3 linked regions of the Danio rerio genome follow. The protein of the gene in region 1 interacts with the protein of each later gene in a biochemical or structural test. Links are inferred from orthologs where the notes say so. Each region holds a gene or a part of one and is shown on either strand. Other genes may lie near its edges.

Evidence for each region.
Region 2: the proteins of mapk8ip3 (region 1) and mapk10 form a complex in vitro, tested with the Homo sapiens proteins (3 studies listed by BioGRID, with this or other methods). The link is inferred for Danio rerio from reciprocal best matches to the Homo sapiens genes MAPK8IP3 and MAPK10.
Region 3: the proteins of mapk8ip3 (region 1) and mapk9 form a complex in vitro, tested with the Homo sapiens proteins (2 studies listed by BioGRID). The link is inferred for Danio rerio from reciprocal best matches to the Homo sapiens genes MAPK8IP3 and MAPK9.

What each region holds. Positions count from the first base shown.
Region 1 is NC_133178.1:14,655,034-14,658,690, forward strand, and holds part of mapk8ip3 (C-Jun-amino-terminal kinase-interacting protein 3), read left to right. Parts: intron 1-531; coding exon 532-693; intron 694-2,469; coding exon 2,470-2,616; intron 2,617-3,657.
Region 2 is NC_133196.1:10,935,623-10,939,998, forward strand, and holds the start of mapk10 (mitogen-activated protein kinase 10), read left to right. Parts: upstream 1-1,551; 5' UTR 1,552-1,761; coding exon of another isoform or gene 1,762-1,764; intron 1,765-4,376. UniProt on the Homo sapiens protein: Serine/threonine-protein kinase involved in various processes such as neuronal proliferation, differentiation, migration and programmed cell death.
Region 3 is NC_133196.1:35,030,204-35,033,860, reverse strand, and holds part of mapk9 (mitogen-activated protein kinase 9), read left to right. Parts: intron 1-2,413; coding exon 2,414-2,579; intron 2,580-2,675; coding exon 2,676-2,747; intron 2,748-3,657. UniProt on the Homo sapiens protein: Serine/threonine-protein kinase involved in various processes such as cell proliferation, differentiation, migration, transformation and programmed cell death.

The sequences.
Region 1 (3,657 bases):
AAGATTTTTTTTCTGTAACAAATGACAACATTTTGACTCATTTTCATAGATCTTCGTAAAATAAAACAGATATTTACTATTTACTCAAACTTGTACCAGTTTTTCAACAAGAATGAAAATATAAATCTGTAAACGTAAATCCACACATATTTGTCTGATAAATCTCTTTCACTAAACGAAATTCAGTAACCGTTAAACTCTTTTTTTTTCCAAAAACAAAGAGAAACGAAGATTTCGATGAACACCTAGGTCTTCTTTTAATGTATACGATAGTTCCATGAACTATTATTGTTGTTGGTTTTATGCTTTATGAATGAATTTTCCGTCTGTGCTTATCTCATATAACATCAGTTTATCTTCATTTCATTTATTTCAAATGCTGTGGTCATGTTCCTTTGGTTTCTTTAGTGTGCATGCTGTGAGCTCTTTGTTTTCTTCTGCACCAGATTCATGTATTAATTTGCATGCTCACAATCCCAGTGAGTTTCTAGACATTCTGCTTTCTGATTGGTGGATTCTGCTCTGTTGCAGCCAATAAGGTGTCGCCTACATCATCAGGAGGCGTGATCCATGTATATGCAGATGATAGCACCTCAGAGAAGAGCAGCTTCATCCCATACTGCTCCATGGCACAGGCGCAACTCTGTTTCCATGGACATCGAGATGCAGTCAAGTTCTTTGTGTCAGTGCCAGGTTAGTGTCAGTTATGTCCTTATTTAATCTAAGTAAATTGCAGTAATAGTAATAATAGTAATACAGAAAAAAACTATTTAGTATAACTTAATCTGTTGACGTTATGTTTCTAGCATGAATTGTTAGCATTTTAGCATGTTACCTTCATGTTTCTAGCATGTTGATGTGTTTCTAGCATGACACATTTAGCACTGCTAGCATGCTGTAGTAGTATATTGGTAACATGTAACTAACATTATTTAACAGTGTTTAACCACTTTGATAGCATCATTCTAGCATAGAATAGAATTCTAGCATAGAATGATTTAGCAACTGCTAACATGTTTCTAGCATGATTTAGCACACATTTAACAATGCTAGCATGCTGTAGTTGTAGAAGTATATTGGTAACAAGAATTAGCTACTGCTAACATGGTTCTAGCATGACTTAGCACGTTTAAAGCCTGTTTTAGTACATTTCTAGTATAACTACAAAACTAATGATGTTAATCTGCTCTTAACATGTTTCTAGCATGACTTAGCACACTGCTAACATGTTACTAGCATGACCCAGCACACATTTAACACTGCTAGCATGCTTTAGTAGTATATTGTTAACATGTAAGTAAAATGTTTAAAGTTTGTTAGTTTTAACAATTCGATAACATGTTTCTAGCATGATTTAGCACACTGCTAGCGTGTTTCTAGCATGACTTAACACACGTTTAACACTTCTAGCATGCTGTACTAGTATATTGTTAACATGTGAAGGGGACATTATACTGTCAGTGGGCGCCATCTTTCGGATGAGATGTTAAACCGAGGTCCTGACTCTCTGTGGTCATTTAAAATCCTTTTTTTCGTAAAGAGCAGGAGCCCTTAATCAGCCCTCCCAATCATCCCTATCCACTGAATCAGCTCTATCACTGTCTCTCCACTCCTCCAATAGCTGGTGTGTGGTGAGCGCACTGGCGTTGTTGTCCTGTGGCTGCCGTCGCATCATCCAAGTAGAGGCTGCACACTGGTGGTGGTGTGGAGAGACCGCCCCCCCCCCCCCCCCCCCCCCCCCTTATGATTGTAAAGTGCTTATACACAATAAATGTGCTATATAAATACACCTTACATTACATTATATGTAACTAACATGATTGAGCACTGTTAATGTTTAGCACTTTGATAACATTAAGTTTCTAGCATGATTTAACAAGTGCTAACATGTTTCTATAGCACAATTGGCACACATTTAACACTGCTAGCATGCTGTAGCAGTATATTGTAAACATTAACATTATTTAAAACTGTTATTGTTTAGCACTTTAATAACATTACGTTTCTAGAATGACTTAGCACGATTAATATTACTAACATGCTGTAGTAGTGTATTGTAAACATGTACCAAACATGATTTAATACTGTTAATGTTTTAGCACTTTGATAAGATTACATTTCTAGCATTATTTAACATACCGCTAGCATTTTTCAAGCACAATTTAGCACGTTTTTAGCATGTTGATTTCTTGTACAGTGCTACATTGAATTAGCCTTCTGACAGCATGTTGTCGTAGTGTTTTTCTTGTATTATTTTACACTATCAGAAATATTGTAGCAATTTTCTGGCATAATTTAACACTCTGCTAGCATATATTTACAGCGATTGATTTAGCACATTTTCATCATGTTTTTGCTTGCCTTTGCTAACGGAAAGTAAAATCCCCCCCCCGCCATGATATGCATGATATAGTTCTTCTGGAAATAATTTGGTCAGTCATAAACGATCTGATGTTGTGTGTTTTTCAGGCAATGTGTTGGCCACACTGAACGGCAGCGTATTGGACAGCCCATCAGAGTCTCAGGGGTCCTCGGCCCCGGCAGAAACAGAAGCACAGAGTCTTCAGAATGTGCTGGTGCTCAGCGGAGGCGAGGGTTACATTGACTTCCGCATCGGTGAGAAGCAAAAACAACACAAGCTAAATTAGCATGCATGAATGTCAATCACATGCCAGTGTTTGTACATAATCAGAAAATTATTCAGGTGCAATCATGTAAGTATTTAGGTGTGCGCATAGATTCGTCTCTCACATAGGACACTCATGCAAATTGGATCTGAGGGGAAAAACTCCACTAAAGGCTTAATGTTTTGCATAGATTGTGGTGTTAAGAAAATCGTGTATTCTTTTTTTTACCAGTCTGTATTTGAGAGTGTTATCAGTTATGGATTATAATGTAATCTTTCTGTAAATTTGAAATTAAATATGTTTAAAATTGTCTGAAATGCTATGAAACTTATAGGACTGAAAACCAGCACTGACGCCCCATTCACACAGGGCGCCAGCTTCAACGCTTCCCATTCACTTTGAATGGATGACGTCAGGCGTTGCCAAACTGCATTGTGGATCCGTCGGTTGCCGCTTCAGAGGCGTTACTCGCTGCAGAAGTTGGGACTTGCTCAACTTTTCAAGCGCCGACAGAAGCATCAGCCAATCAGATCGCTGTATGCAAATACACCACCTCAGACAGTAGCCAATTGCTGACTAATTTCATTGGCCGATGCTGCTATGACGATCGCGTCTGCCCCAACTTCAGACCTTCCCCCTTGTCAAGCGTTGACACTGAAGCCCCGTGTGAATGGGATGTCAGACTCTACACTTTAAATAAAGGGAAAAGCTTGTTGATGCTAGTGGAATAGCCTCAAAAACTCATTTATTCCAGTGTCAATTAGACTGTTTTAACACTAACAAAGGCTCTAGAATACCCAAGAAGTGTCACTCGTATAGTTTTGAATGGGAGAAAGTGTAACGATCAATATGGTGAATGAAGCCCCGCCTTTTAGTACAGGAGCCAATCATCGATCGATGTAGACTGACAATTCTCCGTGGGAGGGTCTTGGACCAGACGTGACTTTCTGCAGATTTCGTGGGATTAGAACGTTTAGAAATGAAACTAAGATAGAGTTGTTTTTTACTTTTATTCGTGACTCCTAATATG
Region 2 (4,376 bases), on another chromosome or scaffold:
TGTATAAGCTTATTTTTTTATATTAACAATAGCTATTCTATATAGAAAAAAACATTGATATCCAGGATAAACATACATGCAAACTATGGGTGCAGTGTTTTGTGTCACTTACAAGGCAGTACTCAATTCGCGAGTGAATCGCGACTGAATCGTTCATTTGAACCGATTCTTTTAATTTAAAGGAAGATTATACAGGAAAGAACTTTAAGGTAGGAATGAATTAAAAGTAATAAAGGTACAACATTATGGACGTTTTTGTCATCTCTAATTCGAGCATGCTTGAAAATAATTTGGATTTAATGATTAATATTTCCAGTTTAATAACCATCTGTAATAATGCACACAAGTATGCATATATTTCAGCAAAGATTAAAAGAATCGCATATGCATTCATTTACTATTTAAATGACAAATGTTAAATGATTTGGAGTAATGTAATGTTTTAGAAGCTCAAAATCGAAGCATAAAACATTTGTGCAGTTTGTTGCAAAATGGACTGCACTGAAGAAAAGAGTAAACCAATTAAAGCAAAATAAAATTGACTGAACTGGACAAAGAGTTCCTATATCAAAGACAAATAATGTCAAATAAGAAATTTAAAAAGCCCCTCAGGCTTTCCTTGCCTATTTTTATTTATTTATTTATTTATTTATTTATTTATTTATTTATTTATTTATTTATTTATTCATTCATTCATTCATTCATTCATTCATTCATTTAGTTATTTTTTTGAAGGTGGAAATCTGACATATGTTTCTTTGTTGCTTTAATAATCTGTGCATTTAGTTTAATGCAATGGCACATTGTGACTCTAAAACACATCTCTGTTAAAATGAGCCAATTACTGCAGGCTTTGGCAAAGTCCAAGGTACTGCTGTATGGACGTTGTCAGTTTTTCTAATTCGAGCATGCTCGAAAATAGTTTGGATTAAATGGTTATATTTACAGTATAATAACCATAACATATGAGTATGTTAGCCTACTTTCCATTGATTTATAACTGCTGCATACAATTGAACTCTAATTTTTGTCTTTTTTTCGTGTGTTTCTCTGTTTGTTCATTTATTTAAAAGTGCAATGTGTGCCAGAGCAAAAAAAACTAAAATTTGACCAAAATTAATCGTTTGAGAATATCATACTGTTTAATTCACTCGTTCTGATCTTGCTTTTACAATTTTCACAATTTTAAGCATATCCAGATAACAACACGCTAGATTCGATTTTAGTTATACTTTTTAATAGCCGCCCCCTAAGTCTCCTGTGAGGCGATTCATTCTAACTGATTCTTCGAACGAACCGATCGCTTCAAAAGAATCGCCTCGCTCTGTCTCTCTGCCCGCCTCCAAACACGCAGTCGGCGGTCATGTGCGCAAAGATCCGCCAATCTCCAGATGCGCGATCAGAGCGCCGCTCCTTTCCATCTCCTCCTCACTCCTATGAGACCGCTCTCGTCTTTGACGTCATCGTGTGCTCCCTCCCGTTGCCAGGCAACCCGTCTCCCGCACCCCCCACTCTCTCCTCCTCCTCCTCCCGTTTTGCCATCACTACGCTGGTAGGATCCATAATGGTACAGGCATCATCCTGCAGCACAATGGTGAGCGCGCAGTGATTCAGCATCGCAAACTCAGGCTTTAATCCAGCGTTAGACTTTCTTTTCATCTGTTTGATACAGTGGTTTTTAAAAGATTCGCCTGCCGGGATGTTTTGAACAGGACTGGACTGTCACCGGACCGGGATCATCGGACGGGCAGCTGGCACGGAATGGTAGGTCGGTCGGTCGGTGGGGAGATGTTGATGCGGGAACCTGAAGGGTGGGGTGATGAATATTGATCGAAATGAAGGTTAATGAAGTCGATGCTTTCGCGGCTTAGCCAAATAAATGATCCGTCACGAAGGTCGAACGATGTCCGAAATGGCAGGATTTCTCCGGTGTTTACCAGATCTGAGCGAGTGCGAGCGCACGTCCATCCGTGTTTTTCCTGCATCACTCGCGGTCCTGCATCATCATATGTCCTGTTTTCAGGGACCGCAGGCCTTTGTTAGAATATGGATTGATGGAATCTGGAGTCACAACAATGACGTGATTACGCAAAAGTCGATTCATTTACATGCGTTTCGGATGTTTGATTCCAATATTATATCATGTTGCATTTCAAAAAATGCAGAATTGCTAGTAAAATACTTTATATGGTATATTTTCACAATATGTCTCGCATTTGATGTTTTTAAGATGACTGAAGTGTATAGGTGCTGGAGTCTGAGATGGGCCATATGGTAATTTGTTTATTTATTTATTTAGTTCACGTTGGAAGCCTGAATAACAGGAAGCAGGGTTAAAACACACCTCATTTTGACACAGTTTGATCAAATTTGAAGTTTATTCCCAATTATGGTTGGATAACCACTATTTAGGAACAACAATTAAATATTAAATGCATGAAATGAAACATTAAAACATGTTTAGATGTTTTTAGATGTGTGATGCATGATGGAGCATTTTTTATAATAAATATTTTTGGTTTCCATTTTGAGATATCAAGAAATATTGAGTGAACATCACAGGATGTAATGATTTTTATGCACTCTAGTGCATAATGTTTCATAAGACTGCATGGAATAATAACTTCAAAATTTATTAAAATTCCAAAAGGGCATTTATATAAATGTTTTGATGCAGAAGTGGCTATGTTTGTTTATACATTACATTACATTAATATATTGACTTGAAGTTATTTATATTATGTATTGTGAGCTGAAATAAAATACATTTGCCTTTTTGAAAATTTCGTAAGATACAATATGACATTTTATTCTCAATGAAGCAATATTGGAATTAATAGGATATTAATAATCATATTTATTTTCAATCAATAGTTCTAGCATTTGATGCTTTATGCTGCAATTGATGCATATTTGAGTTCATGCTGGGGTCTAAGATGTTGAATATTTATTTTATCTTATTTTATATTTTTAGGAAGGCTACCATAGAGGTGTAAATCTATTAAAGTGTCATAAAGCAGTAAACATTTTACATATGAAGAGTTTAGATGCAAAAACCTCTAAGTGCCGTCTGAAATTTCCATTGAAAATAAACATTTTTCTCAGCTTCCTTTGTTAATGTTGAGTTAGTTCTCTTCAAAGACCATAAAAGAGAATTATTCTTTGCCATAAAAGTGATACTACTAAACATACACACAGGAGCCTGATAAAAATCATTTTAGAGGAAAATTTCAGACGGCATTTAGAGGTTTTTGCTACTAAACTCTTCATTTTATCAACTGAGTGCTTCACACTATGGAACAATCTTTCCATTTGGTATTTTGGACTATTTCGGTTTCCACTTTATGCGTTATATGTTATGCTTTTTATTAAACTATGTGGAATAATTCAAAAGTGCATGTACTGTACATGTATTTTTACTTTTTTACTCTGTGCCAAATATATATTATATATATATTTTTATATATTTGGTACAGAGTAAAAGTGGCTATGCATTAATTTACTGATTAAATGACAAAAGCAAAATGATTTGGAGCAATGTACTGTTTAATAAGTTTAAAAAAGAAGCATAAAACATTTGTGCAGTTTGTTGCAAAACCGATTGCATTTGTGAGAACAGTAAACTAATTAAAGCAAAAGGAATACACAAAGAGTTCCATTATCAAAGATTCATGTCAGATCTATAAAAAAAGCCACTCAGGCTTTCCTTGCCTATTTTTTAAAGCTGGAAATTTGACATATGCTGAAATATTTCTTGGTGCTTTAATAATCTGTGCTTTTGTTTTAATGCAATGGCACATTGTGGTATCCTCTGTTAAAATGAGCCAATTACTGCAGGCTTTGGCAAAGCGCTATGCATATTCTAAGGGACGGCCATGGACTAATCATCCGTAGCCCCCCCAAAAAACAACCCCATATGGCTAATTAGGCTGTTCCATTGTGTCTGTATATTGTTAAATCCCACAACACTGGGTACCCTGGTTATATTCGCCTCACGCTTCAGTGTCAGAGGTTGCGGCGATCATCTGAACTCTCGTATTCTCCAGGTACGCTGACATTTTGATTAGGATTAAGAGAGTGATTTTGTGAGGGAACTGCTGAAGGACAAAGCCTTGAGAAGCCGGTATTTTGTCTCCATGTGGCTTGAACGGTTCAGCAAACAATTCTTCTCTGTCAATGTTTTTTCAAGGACTTGACTCTTTTACCTCAATAGTTTATTGTAATGAATAGTATCTTGACCAATGTAGTCCACTACATTACTGTTATCTATATTTATTAGCTGGCTTGTTTGCTTAGTAAGTTATTCATATTGGATCAGTATCCTTCTCTCTATTTGCCCAGCCCCATTTAAAATATGTGTCTTAGGCCAGTGTTTC
Region 3 (3,657 bases), on another chromosome or scaffold:
GATAGCATCACACAGTTGCTGCAGATTTGTCAGCTGCAAATTTTTGATGCGAATCTCACGTTCCACCACATCCCAAATGTGCTCTATTGGATTTTGATCTTGTGACTGTGGAGGTCATTTGAGTACAGTGAACTCATGTTGTTGATGCCAAATTCTGATTCTACCATTCGAATGTTGCAGCAGAAATCGAGACTCATCAGACCAAGCAATGTTTTTCCAATCTTCTATGGGGTATATGCCGAAGCATGCTAATAGGACTTTTAATTTGCCAATAACCTGGGTTAAGCGCTTCCGGCGAATTGAATGCCAATGCAAAATCCGGTGCGTTTAAGGTCTGTTTTCTTTAAAAATGAGCGATCTTCACTGACTGAGTGATATCCGATTTAAAGTGGGTCTCAGATTGTACAAGAAGCACTGCATTAAATTACATTTCCCCAGCCATATCGTTATAATATGAGCATTTATTTTACCCCAGTATATTCAATGGAGCTTCTGCGTTAGCCTGCCGATTCTGACGGGTGCGTGCGAGTAAACAGCTTTTTGTCTCGTTTTGCTTGAGCAACCAAATAAATGCTAAAGTATATTTAAATGAATGTATTTTAATGACATTACAACATCGATGCTGTAAAAGGAACCGTATAAAATGGAAATTATGGAAAGTTCTTAATAACAGGTCACCGGAAGTGTATCAGCATGGGAACAGCACTAGCTTGGCATATACCCTATTGTCCAATTTTGTTGAGCATGTGGGAATTGTAGTCTCAGTTTCCTGTTCTTAGCTGAAAGAAGTGGCAACTGGTGTGGTCTTCTGCTGCTGTAGCCCATCCACCTCAAGGTTCGACGTGTTGTGCGTTCAGATTTACTCCTCTGCATACCTCGGTTGTAACAAGTGGTTATTTGAGTTACTGTTGCCTGTCTATCTGCTTAAACCAGTCTGGCCATTCTCCTCTCACCTCTGACATCAACAAGGCATTTGCGCTCACAGAACTGCCGCTCATTGGATATTTTCTCTGATCATTCCCTGTAAACCCTAGAGATGGTTGTGCGTGAACATCCCAGTAGATCAGCAGTTTCTGAAATACTCAGACCAGCCATGTTCAAAGTCACTTAACTCGCCTTTCTTCCCCATTTTGTTGCTCTGTTTGAACGGCAGATCAGCAGATCGTCTTGGCCATGTCTACATTTTTTTTTCTGAAAAATTCATAGCTCTAAGGCATTATTCTAAAAACACTAACCCATAAACCATAGGCTATACACCGGTAAAATTATTTTCAGTTTTGAAGATTGAAACAGGCTTAAGAGTAACATGAGAGACATGAAAAAAACTTGCAATGGTTCAGATTTACAAGTTAGTGGTTTGTGTAGTAAATGTTCACAATGTAAACTTAATTTTGGAGCCTACAGTTAATCAATATGTCAGATTCTGGAGTGCATTACAGGTCTAAAGAACATTATAAATGATAAATAATTTTAAATAAAACAAATACATTTATAGATATGGTATATACGTTTAGAATTTTACTCACCTGGGAAATGGAGGCCACGTGAATGGTTTGTGAGCACAATTAAGTGCACACAGCATGCCATATCATCTAATAATTGTAAGAAATAATTCCAAAAGGCAACTGATTTTGCAAAGCCACATAAAACAAAACAAAAATATTATGTATATGCAGAGTTTAGCAGCTAATCAGTCGGAATCAGCTGAGGTGGAGTGATGGCGACCAGCGAGACCTAGCTGTCACTCAAATGGCCACACCCTTAATTATGCAAACTTAATATAACTTAAAATAAATGAAACCGATGAGATAAAAAAAAAAAAACTCAGTTGTTATGAAGGGTAATATCAGCTATATGAACCAAAACTGTTTTTTGTACCAGGCTGTAAACACCTTTTTTTCCCGGTAAAGTTGGCCATTGTAACAGTGGGCTCAAAAAGAAATTTGCTCCACATAGAGCCAGGGATAGCGGAATTTCGATGAATTGCAGTTTCAGTTACTTCCGTATTTGCTTCACGAGGGAGAGCAGGAGGTTGCTGCTTGATTTTAACATGTAGAGGTAAGTGATCCAAAATGATTGTAACAATCATTGACCCCTAAATCTATTTATGTCTTAGAACTGTAAAAATAAAAATAAATAAATAAATAAATAATGCCAACCAGAACAATTGTTTAAACCTAAAATTAAAAGCCTGGTCACATGAGCTGTCACAGTAGGAAAGAATGTAAAAATATATATCATCCAGAGAGTACACAATTCCATATATTCAAGGAGAGAACCCCAAATTTCCTAATAAAGTCTAATAATTTGATTTAATAAGTGAATTTTAAACTACTGAGACCTTTCATTGTGTTAATGTGTGAGATTGTCTTTCAGCATGACAGTATGGGATTGCATTCTCTTTGCTATTCAGGATCTGAAGCCCAGTAATATAGTGGTGAAGTCCGACTGCACTTTAAAGATCTTAGACTTTGGACTGGCCAGAACCGCCTGCACTAATTTTATGATGACACCTTACGTAGTGACCAGATACTACAGAGCGCCAGAGGTCATCCTGGGCATGAAATACAAGGAGAACGGTAATGCTGTTTTTTTTTTTGGCGGTAATGCCCTTCAGAGCCAATGAAGATATTGAAATGGAATTGTGTTATTAATATTTGATTGTCTTTTTGCAGTGGATATCTGGTCTGTAGGCTGCATCATGGGCGAAATGGTTAAAGGGAGCGTCATATTCCAGGGCACTGATCGTATCCACTTAATTCTAAAACCTGAAAAATAAGCAGTTAAGCTTGCATTTTTTGCAATGCTATTTTTAAATGTCAGTTTTATGTTTTAGTTTTTCAAATATGCTCTTCAAATATATATTCATCTGCATTTATTTGATCAAAAATACAATAAAAACTTTAAAAAAAAATTTAAAAACTGAATTTTTATTTTATTTTATTTTTTTTTACATTTAGAGTAACTGTTTTCAACTTGTTTATTAAAGTGAAATAAAATTGTCCCCAAACTGTGAAGCAGATGATGTTTTCATTTTTAATTTCCTTTATAAATACATTAATACCCTAAATAACTTTTTTGAAAAATTATTTAAAGGAACATATTTAGATGAATATTGAAGCATAATATGACACAGAAGCCTGGAGCAATGATGCTTAAAATTAAGCTTTGCATCAGACAAATAAAGTACATTTTAAAACACACAGTATACAACTAATATCTCAATCTGAGTGCTGTTTTAGCAATTTTTTTTTTACTTGTGTTTTTGATCGAATAAATCTGGCCTTTGCATGCAGAAGAGACTTTTTTTAAACATTAATGTTTCCACACTTTTAACTTGTATTGTACAATGCATTATTCTGTTCTAGTAATAACTGCATGCAATTCCATCATGATCCTCCAGAGGTCTGTGAAACCCTCATCTGATAAATTAAACCACACACTACTCCTCTGAATAGTTCTGCAAACTTTTCCTCTCTGGCCATTCTTTTGATTAACCATACTTAATCTTCTTTTTATTCTCCATTGTCTGTTCTATTCAGTAAGGGAATAGGTAATTTAAAAGCAAAAAGTACTGTTTACCAATGCTGTATGCCCTTCTTTCTTTTGTGGAAAGACAATAGTAGAATGAGAAATAATTTGTTGCAAAAACGGTCC